2 linked regions of the Bombyx mori genome follow. The protein of the gene in region 2 purifies or fractionates together with the protein of the main gene of each other region. This does not show direct contact. Links are inferred from orthologs where the notes say so. Each region holds a gene or a part of one and is shown on either strand. Other genes may lie near its edges. The genes, in order: protein-L-histidine N-pros-methyltransferase and proton-coupled zinc antiporter SLC30A2.

The links.
Region 1: the proteins of proton-coupled zinc antiporter SLC30A2 (region 2) and protein-L-histidine N-pros-methyltransferase purify together in Homo sapiens (co-immunoprecipitation; 3 studies listed by BioGRID and IntAct, with this or other methods). This does not show direct contact. The link is inferred for Bombyx mori from reciprocal best matches to the Homo sapiens genes SLC30A2 and METTL9.

What each region holds. Positions count from the first base shown.
Region 1 is NC_085117.1:14,585,209-14,589,554, reverse strand, and holds the start of protein-L-histidine N-pros-methyltransferase, read right to left. Parts: upstream 2,825-4,346; 5' UTR 2,572-2,824; coding exon 2,269-2,571; intron 1-2,268. UniProt on the Homo sapiens protein: Protein-histidine N-methyltransferase that specifically catalyzes 1-methylhistidine (pros-methylhistidine) methylation of target proteins.
Region 2 is NC_085111.1:18,805,692-18,810,315, reverse strand, and holds the start of proton-coupled zinc antiporter SLC30A2, read right to left. Parts: upstream 2,894-4,624; 5' UTR 2,753-2,893; coding exon 2,490-2,752; intron 1-2,489.

The sequences.
Region 1 (4,346 bases), on a different chromosome or scaffold from region 2:
ACAATGCCTATTTCTCCGTGAAGCAGTAATGCGTTTCGGCTTGAAGGGTGGGGCAGCCGTTGTAACCGTACTGAGCCCTTAGAACCTATATCTCAAGGTAGTTGGCGGCATTTACTTTGAAGATGTCTATGGACTACGGTAACCACATAACTCCAGGTGCTGTTCACCAGGTGAAAAAAAACAAGCGCATCATCGGCCCGTTTGTTTGGTAATGTCTCAAGGGCAGAGATCAAAGACATAGATTAAAGGCATAAAATCTTCCCATGAGTCCTAATGCACCGTCGTGGCTATTTGTGGCAAGAGGATGCCTTCCAATTGAGAATTTGTCCTCAGAGTGGCATAATCACAATGATGTCAATCAATGGGGTTCAGGTAACAACTTAATGGAACTTCCTAAAAAAAGGCAGACAGCCAAGCTCATGGTGAGTAGTCACTGTAGCTCATGAAGATCAGCAGGATTAGGGAAACAGCCAGGTGGCTGAGACCTCTTGTAAAAAGAGATAGTTAAAGAAAGTCAATTAATCTTTGTATTACTGCCTCCTAATGCAGACAAGCATAGGGCCAATTTGATGGTGAGAAATTGTTGTGGCTTATGGATATTAGGAATAGTAAGGCTAAGGCAAACAGCTCTTTGTTGACGTAGAGAATTTTACAGAGCTTGGAAAAAACTGACCAATTGAGTTTATTCAAGAGGTGTAATAGCCGTTGTAATAGGAACTTCACTTAAGATCCTAAGGATCTAAATTTCAGGCATGTGATTGCACAGTCTCACTTTGCTTTTTAATTCAATATTACCAGTAATTCCTATTCTGCTTTAGCCATTTTAGGTTTGTTATTCAAAACAAGGCAGGCAAATCGGTCATGATCTTTTAAGCTAAATTAAGTTATAAGCTTACATGTACTTATTCCATTTAAGACAAGGACTAAATAAATAAAGGCTATAAAAATAATGAAATAAAAATAAGGACTAAGGATTAAATGAATAAGCAATTAAATTTTTTTAAGTCTTCAAACATACAAGTGGACAAGTATATCCAGATACAAATGGCAAATACTGATTTTGAGCAGAAATAGAGAGGAAGATAATGTACTATTTAACTATTTAAATGTTTATTCAATTACTTATTATTATTTAAAGACTTATTATTATTTATGCGTTTCAGAAAGAAGATGCATTGATGAAAAAAAGGCTACTTATTCCCTAAAAACAACATCATTGATAGCAGTAAAAATCTGCTATTAAAAAAAAGAGAAACACTTGCAAACGGAGGGTAGGGAAAATAGTATTTAGATGTTTTATTTTTGCTTATTTTACATATATATGTTATTGTAAAGTAGTTAGGTGCCCTAGCAACTATTGGAACATATAAGTATAAAAATTCTTAAAGATACTAATCATTTACCAACTGACCGGAAAAAATATTGCTTATAATTTTGAAATTTTGAATTTTTAAAGCAGTTTTAGAATGATAGTAAATAAATTTTAAAATATGGTACTTCAATGTAACTTAAAAACTTAAATTGTGATAAATGTGTGATATGATATGTCCTTCTTCAAACACGGCTTGCAGAGAATACTCAATGGTAGGCAGTGGCTTGGCCCTGCCCCTGGCATTGCTGACGTCCATAACCGACAGTAACCACTTACCATTAGGCGGGCCACATAGACGTTTGCCTACAAAGGCAATAAAAAAAATTTCAACATAGTACTTTTACAGGGTTGTTCATAGTGCAGTTGTATCTAAAACATTTTCATTTGGTATTACATATGCACACATGAAGTATAATTCTAGACCTAGTATCATTATTTTAGTTTTACATGAATTCCATTAGTAGAAAATTTCATTGTTTTGAATAAAAGTTTTCCTTTGGAAATTTTATATTTTATTACCTGACCCGGCAGACTTCGTAGTGCCTCAATTGATAACTAAAGGACCTAAACTTTTGTATAAAATAAACTTAACACAAACAAAAGGAATCCGTCCAAGGGAGGACACATCAAATGCAAAACAAAATTGTTATTTTTATTTAATTCTAAGCATTTTCATATTTATCTACCTTTTAAACCTTCTCTGGACTTTCACAAATAATTCAAGACCAAAATTAGTCAAATCGGTCCAGCCGTTCTAGAGTTTTAGCATGACTAAATGAACAGCAATTCATTTTTATCTAAATAGAAGAAGAAGAATATTGATAATTTAATTGCTGTCAAGAAACTTATTTATATTAATGTTTTATTACTTTTCACGTGAATATTATTCATCTTACCTCATTCTGATCGAGTTCCTGGAGATATCTATCATTGTTTTGTTTCTCACACAGTGCTCGGGCTAGTGCACTCCTTGGTCGATAAAAACTACTTTCACTTGACATTTTATCTTCTACTATTAATTCTTCTAATAGAAACCTCTTATAGCCTGTGTGTTCAGATTGGCTACTTCTTAAGATGAATGCTTGGCAGTCCTTTGCATAAAAAAATAAGTCAATTCTTAAGCATACATTTAAATGCTTCTCTGATAACGCACAACACTGCAGCATGAAACTACATAGTAATAGAAGAGTATGGTTCATTTAGTTTACTATGTTGAATTTTCTCAGAACGATCAACAATTTATTTTCTTCTTAGTTAACCTCACTTTAGCGGTTTCTTACAAAAAAGTGTTATCCATACATCTTCAGTAGTTAATTACAATACTGTGTGTAGTATATGCAATAGTTAATATCAGCAAAATTCTATTAACAATCAATTCACTAAAAAAACGAAATTTATGTCTTTGTTTTGGTTTTCGCACAAACGTCACACAAACGTCAGAATCGTTTTTGTGTTGCCATAAATGTTCTAAAAAAATCTTGAAAAGCTTTAAATTGTCATTAAAATTGGACTACATTTAACATTTTGAAATCAATGAAATTGTTTCATTCGTTTTTCATTTATATTTTTTGCATTACAATTTTGAATGTATGGTATGAAAAGCATTCATTATATTTACTATAACGCATAATTTTGCTTTATATCATCAAAGTTATAAATTACATATGTTTAAAAGAAAATCTCATGGTCGTAAATCACATTGTTACTTTATCATGGCCAACTTAATTTTATTCGAAGTGGGTAGATATCCCATGGCATAGTAACTGGACAAGGACTAACAAGGACTGTATGATTAACTGATGATTGATGTGTGGCGTAAGCCTTTTTTAAGTAACTTTTTAAATTAACACATATTTACCACATTAGGTATGTCTTAAAAAAAATCCGAAAATATAATACCTGTGTTAGGTATTTGTGTCACTTTAAGCCTACACTTGCGCACTCTTTATAAAAGTGACCCTTGTGGTTTACTATTTTATGCAAATCGTGAAACTTATATGATTTTAAGTTATCATTAGTAGTAAGTACCATTGCTAATACAGCACTAATACCAACTATGGTGTGTAACTAAGTACATACAAGCTATTTATTTATTCAATCTTCCATAAATAGTCCCTTAAACTTTCCTTATCAATAATTATTATTGATGGGTAAGCATAAAAACATAATACTAACCGATTCTTGTTTAGCTTCAATCGAAGCTTTTGCCACTATCTCTCGCAGCACTAAATTCATTATGATGGTACACCGTTACTTCGTGCTGAATCACTTAATGACACGTAATATAGTGAGAATCACGTTTTGCAGTCGACGCGTTTAAATACACAACACTGAATAGAGAAAGGTCGTTTTTTAATGATCTATTTGATTTAAATTCTTAAGAATATATAATCTTGGTTTGGCCTTGCCCGTGACCGTCCGTTCACTGGCTATGTCCGTCACCGCTACTCTTGACAAACACTTTTTAACCGTTACAAAAAAAGATCTAAAACTAACTTTACGGTAAAGTCGAATTCAGCGAAACGGTTATTATAAAAACAAAAGCATTTCGAAATTAGGTGAACTGTATTTTCGAATAGTAGGTATAATGATATAGTTCCAATAACAAAATCATGAGTACCTACTGGTTTCTTTTTTCCTCAATTAATCGGTGGTAGCCTAAGGGGCTGATCTAACTTCACGCTGACCGGTAGGTGAGCTTACGGGCTCAACCTGAAAGAATTGCTAACAAGAGCAGTGCTTCGCTGAATCTACTACCGGATCAGAATCGCGAACCACTGAAAAAATCCGGCGAGAAATTTTGTGGGTTGTGTTTAAGGGCTAGTTCGCAAGTCGAACTCTTGGTCGAGGGTGACCGAGTGTGCTGCTTTGTCACTTTCAGGTCTATGTTTCTACAAAAATGGCAGGAGGTAAACCCTACAGGATGATATTATGTCGAGCCCAGAAAGTGAGAAAAATGTACAAAAAACGAATC
Region 2 (4,624 bases):
GGCACGAAGACTGGCCCTCCTCCAGTCCAGGTTTGAATCCGTTAGATTACAAGATATGGCAATACTTGGACGAAAAGGCGTGCTCAAAGCCTCATCCCAATTTGGAGTCACTCAAGACATCCTTGATTAAGGCAGCCGTCGATATTGACATGGACCTCGTTCGTGCTGCGATAGATGACTGGCCGCGCAGAATGAAGGCCTGTATTCAAAATCACGGAGGTCATTTTGAATAAACTTTAGTGTCATAAGAATCTATGTTTTGTTAAGTTCATTTTGGTATATGAATGGTTACATAATGAATAAACTTGTTTCAATTATTTTATATTAAACATGTGACAGAATTTATGACCTGACTAGGTATATATGATCCACGTGTATGCACGTCAACATTGCTCGCATGTGCGTGCCAGCTAAAAGTATACCCAAATAGGCCCGCTCCAAAGGCGACACCCGTGTATGCCTGTTGATAACAGGATCCTATATTTACATCTTTTGGGTTGCAATATCCTCAAATGTACCAAGGCACTATTATAAACCTAATAATTAATTATACATAACATAGAAATAAGATGTTTGCTTCAAACTCTTACCAATTATAGTTTATTTGCATTTCATGTTTTGTGATGTGATATTGTTAAATAAGAATACAAAATGAATAATTTAAGGACACTAAATAGGGGCCTATCGAGTTTGTTTTGTGGATTACTCATGAGCGTTTTTTTTGAACAATAGTATAAATGACAAAGTTTTTATACAAAGATATATTTTATATCACAGTCAAGACTACCACTAGTATGGATTACAGTCTTGCTACTGAAAAAATCAGGTAGAAACTCAGGGTTTATGTACCTATACATTGTGTAATGCCTAAATTATGGCTTTCTGCTAACATTATTGAAAATAAAAGTTAAATTACGATGACATGTCTGACTTGTGAGATTCATGAGTGCTTGGAGCAACATTTCTAAGAGGGATCTCGTTGATATAGTGATGACAGCTATTGATAAAGATTACTTGTTGATTAGCCTAGAAAAATAATGTGATAATGTCAAAGACCCCTGTTTTTCGGCCTTCAATGTAATATAATAATTTAGATCTTCAGTTTATTTATCTTGCATTGTACATTATTTCTTATCATAACATAACATTGATATAAATGCACTCAAGAGCTCTGTTTAAGGCATCGATAAACATTTCAAGTGAAAGATTAATAATGCATTGTGCAGTCAAGTTTCTACAGTAACCATTGCAATTTGAAATCTTTGTAATTAATTTTAATATACACTGCGACAATTATTCATCCCCAGCATAGTCTAAGCAGATAGTAGGGTAAAATTTCCCATTACGAGTTATTAATTGTACACTTTACAAATTTAATAATTTCCTTGACTAAGCAAAAAGGCTTATCTTTTTAGGTGTTTCATATTGAAATTGAAATAATTGAATTGAATTGATTATACCTTGAAAGTAGTGCAATATTATGGTCCATTTTTAATCCAGAAGTGGGTCTGTTCCCATCTTTGTTTTCATAAACAAATCACTCAAAAAGGTTTTACTGTTCAAGTAGATCTAAGCTGACATAGCTACTGCAGATTCAGATTCCTATTTCACTGGTGACAGGAATCAGCAATAAACTCTACGATTCCTTTTCCAAATATAAGCAAATTGTAACACAGAAATTATCCTTATCCATTTTAAAAGTCTCAATTTGAACTTTTAAGAGTTAAAACAGTGTAATTAGCAGCTTAAAAGTTTAAGGACTTTTTGTTGTTAGAATGTACCAAATAAGGTATGTACCAAGGCATAGTGTTTTTTTGTTTTTATTGCTTAGGTGGGTGGACGAGCTCACGACCAACCTGGTGTTAAGCAGTTACCGGAGCCCATAGACATCTACAATGTCACTATAATCACTTAATCACACATAATTTTTTTTTTTTTATCTATAATTAAATTATATAAAATATAATATTAATTTTAATTTTTATCTATAAATAAACCCAGTATAAAAAAAATTAATATATTAAAATGTCAATATTTGAAATTGACATAAAATTAACTTAAAACTATAGCATTCTGTATGTGAGCACTTTCTAAGTATATTTCAAGTACACTAATCCATCCATCCATCCATCCAAGTACTCCTTTAATTTAGAAACTTAAACTTAAATTTAGTTAACTTTAACTACTTTTATAACTTCATTTTAAATTCAAATTTAAAATTGGCTTTTGACTATTTACTAATTAACTGGTACTTTTAAAGCTATTTCTTATAAATGTGATTTGAGTTCATAGTTTCAACATTATGGAATGAACTTTAATTTTTAAACGCCAAAGTTTTTACTAAACTTTAATCAACGATATACTATTTTTGTTATTATTTGAAGTATGTATTATTTTAAGTTTTGTCATAATTTTATTAACTTGAACCCTTCCGAATCTGTCAAAAGGTCATTAGTTATGTGTGGGCGTTGTAAACAAAATTCACTCACCCGTTTATATTCAGTTGTCCGCTGACCATATCTCTATTTCCGACGAGACAGCCAGGTGTCTCAGACTTGTCTGTTATGTACTGGACCTCGACATCTTCCAATATAGCCGCACGATCAGCGTTTGTTTTATTCAACTTATCACTAGACAAACTTTTCGATCTATATCTACCACTCAATGGTACTAAATTCTTATCAGTGAACGCGTTCAATGTATTTATTTTTGTATCATTATGATATTTTTCGTTAATTAAATGTGATGACATTGCGCGCGTTGTTCTGTCAATCTCAGGTGCGCGAATCGACTGACGTTTAAAACGACTAACCAAACCACATATTAAGCTGTCAACAAAACAATGGTAATCGACAAAGTGAGCGAGGTCGCGTTCTCCGCATTAACTTTAACAATTTCAGATGTCTTGAAATTAGTCGGGTATTTTTATAAGGTATGAATCTTGCCGAATGCTAATGTCCGATGCCCGAAAAAAGGTGGTTTTTTCAACTTCGGAATCGGAACACAAATGAAGGCTAAAACTCTATTGTTGTTCTAAAATTCATTGATTATCAAACAATTTATAAAGTGATAAAAAGTTCCCGTAAATTGTAAAGAATCAAGGGAAGACGTCTGTGGTTAGTCATTAAGTCAAAACCGTATTATTGTGATGATACGGAAACACTTTGAGGATTTTCTTTCCTATAAATTATATTGAGAAAAAAAATTATCACAACATCCATGATCACTCATTGTTTATCGTAAGAAACTCTTTGCATTTTTAATAGGTAAATGAAGAATATCAACCGTTTTTACCCTACATTTCTAAAATGTTAACTAAATAGAAGGAAATAGCATTAAAGATCCAAATAAAGTAATAAGCTTTGAATAACTTTTATTCTATAAAGAACCCTGGACTCAATCTTGCATTCGTAGATGCCATTTCTTCCATACGAAGACATACGTATAATTTACACTTTTGTGGCTAAAAATATGAGGGGAACATAGATAGAACTACCTAAATTATCTGCGATAGCCAAGGCGATCTCAAGGTACTAAATCCGGTTTGAGGCTAGAGTACCTAAACTTAGTTCGTTAAATGAGCTAGGCAGGCGCAACATCATCAATCTATAGTTTGGGTCAATTGATATGTTGACTTGCTTGGTACCAAGGGTCATGAACAATTTGGTGGAATGGCCAAAAAGTGATTTAAAAGATGAATGATTGAATCAGAACCATCTATGGAAATTACTATGAGAACGGTCTATATTGCACGGGTGGACTGCGCTAAAACTCGAATCTTTGGAAATGGAAGAGCACTTCCGTTCCGAGAAACTTTAAGGAGTTCCTAAGTGAAATTAAAACTTAGCAGAAGACTTTAGCTGTAGATTAGTTTACCTGTAGAATATAAATGGAAACTCAGTGGGCTGTGCCTGTGGGTTAATGTACTCGTCGACCCCTTCGTCGCAAGCGACGGGTTTGACAAGAACCATGACCGGTGCTTGAGGTACCTAAAAGCACCGTTAGTGGATCGGAAAGATCCGAAATTACGTGTTTTGGGCGACGTCGACTGCTTTCCATTCTGTCCGCAGGATCGGGAATGTAGTTACCGGCGGCCACAATGAGAGGGTTCTCGTGTCGTGCCGCTTTATTGAAGTGGCCCATTGATGCCAACTGTAGATACTTACTGATGGACTCTTAAGTTCAGGTCATCATGGAGGTCGATGTTCCTGACGAACCACGGGGCTCCGACGGCTATCCTGCAAACACGGGATTGTATAACTTGGAGTGGTTTTAAGTTAGTGCGGGTCGCGTGAACGAACACTACCCTTGCATAGGTCATGTAGGGGCGTATGCAAGTTTTGTAGAGTGTCACCTTATTTCTAAGGAACTTACTTCGCCTACAAATCATCTGGTAGAGGCGTCCTAGTAAGAAGGCGGCACGGTCGCGTACTGTCTTTAAGTGGGGGCGGAATATCGTCCCTCTGTCGAGAGTGACGCCTAGGTATCTGACCTTGGGGGCCCACGGTATGGGTTGGTCGTACATCATGATGGGGCGAATGGCGGAGGCGGAGGTGTTAACGCGCCTAGTCGGCGGGCGCGCGGTTGTAGGAAGCGGGTTAAAAATCAGTGGACTGACACAAAA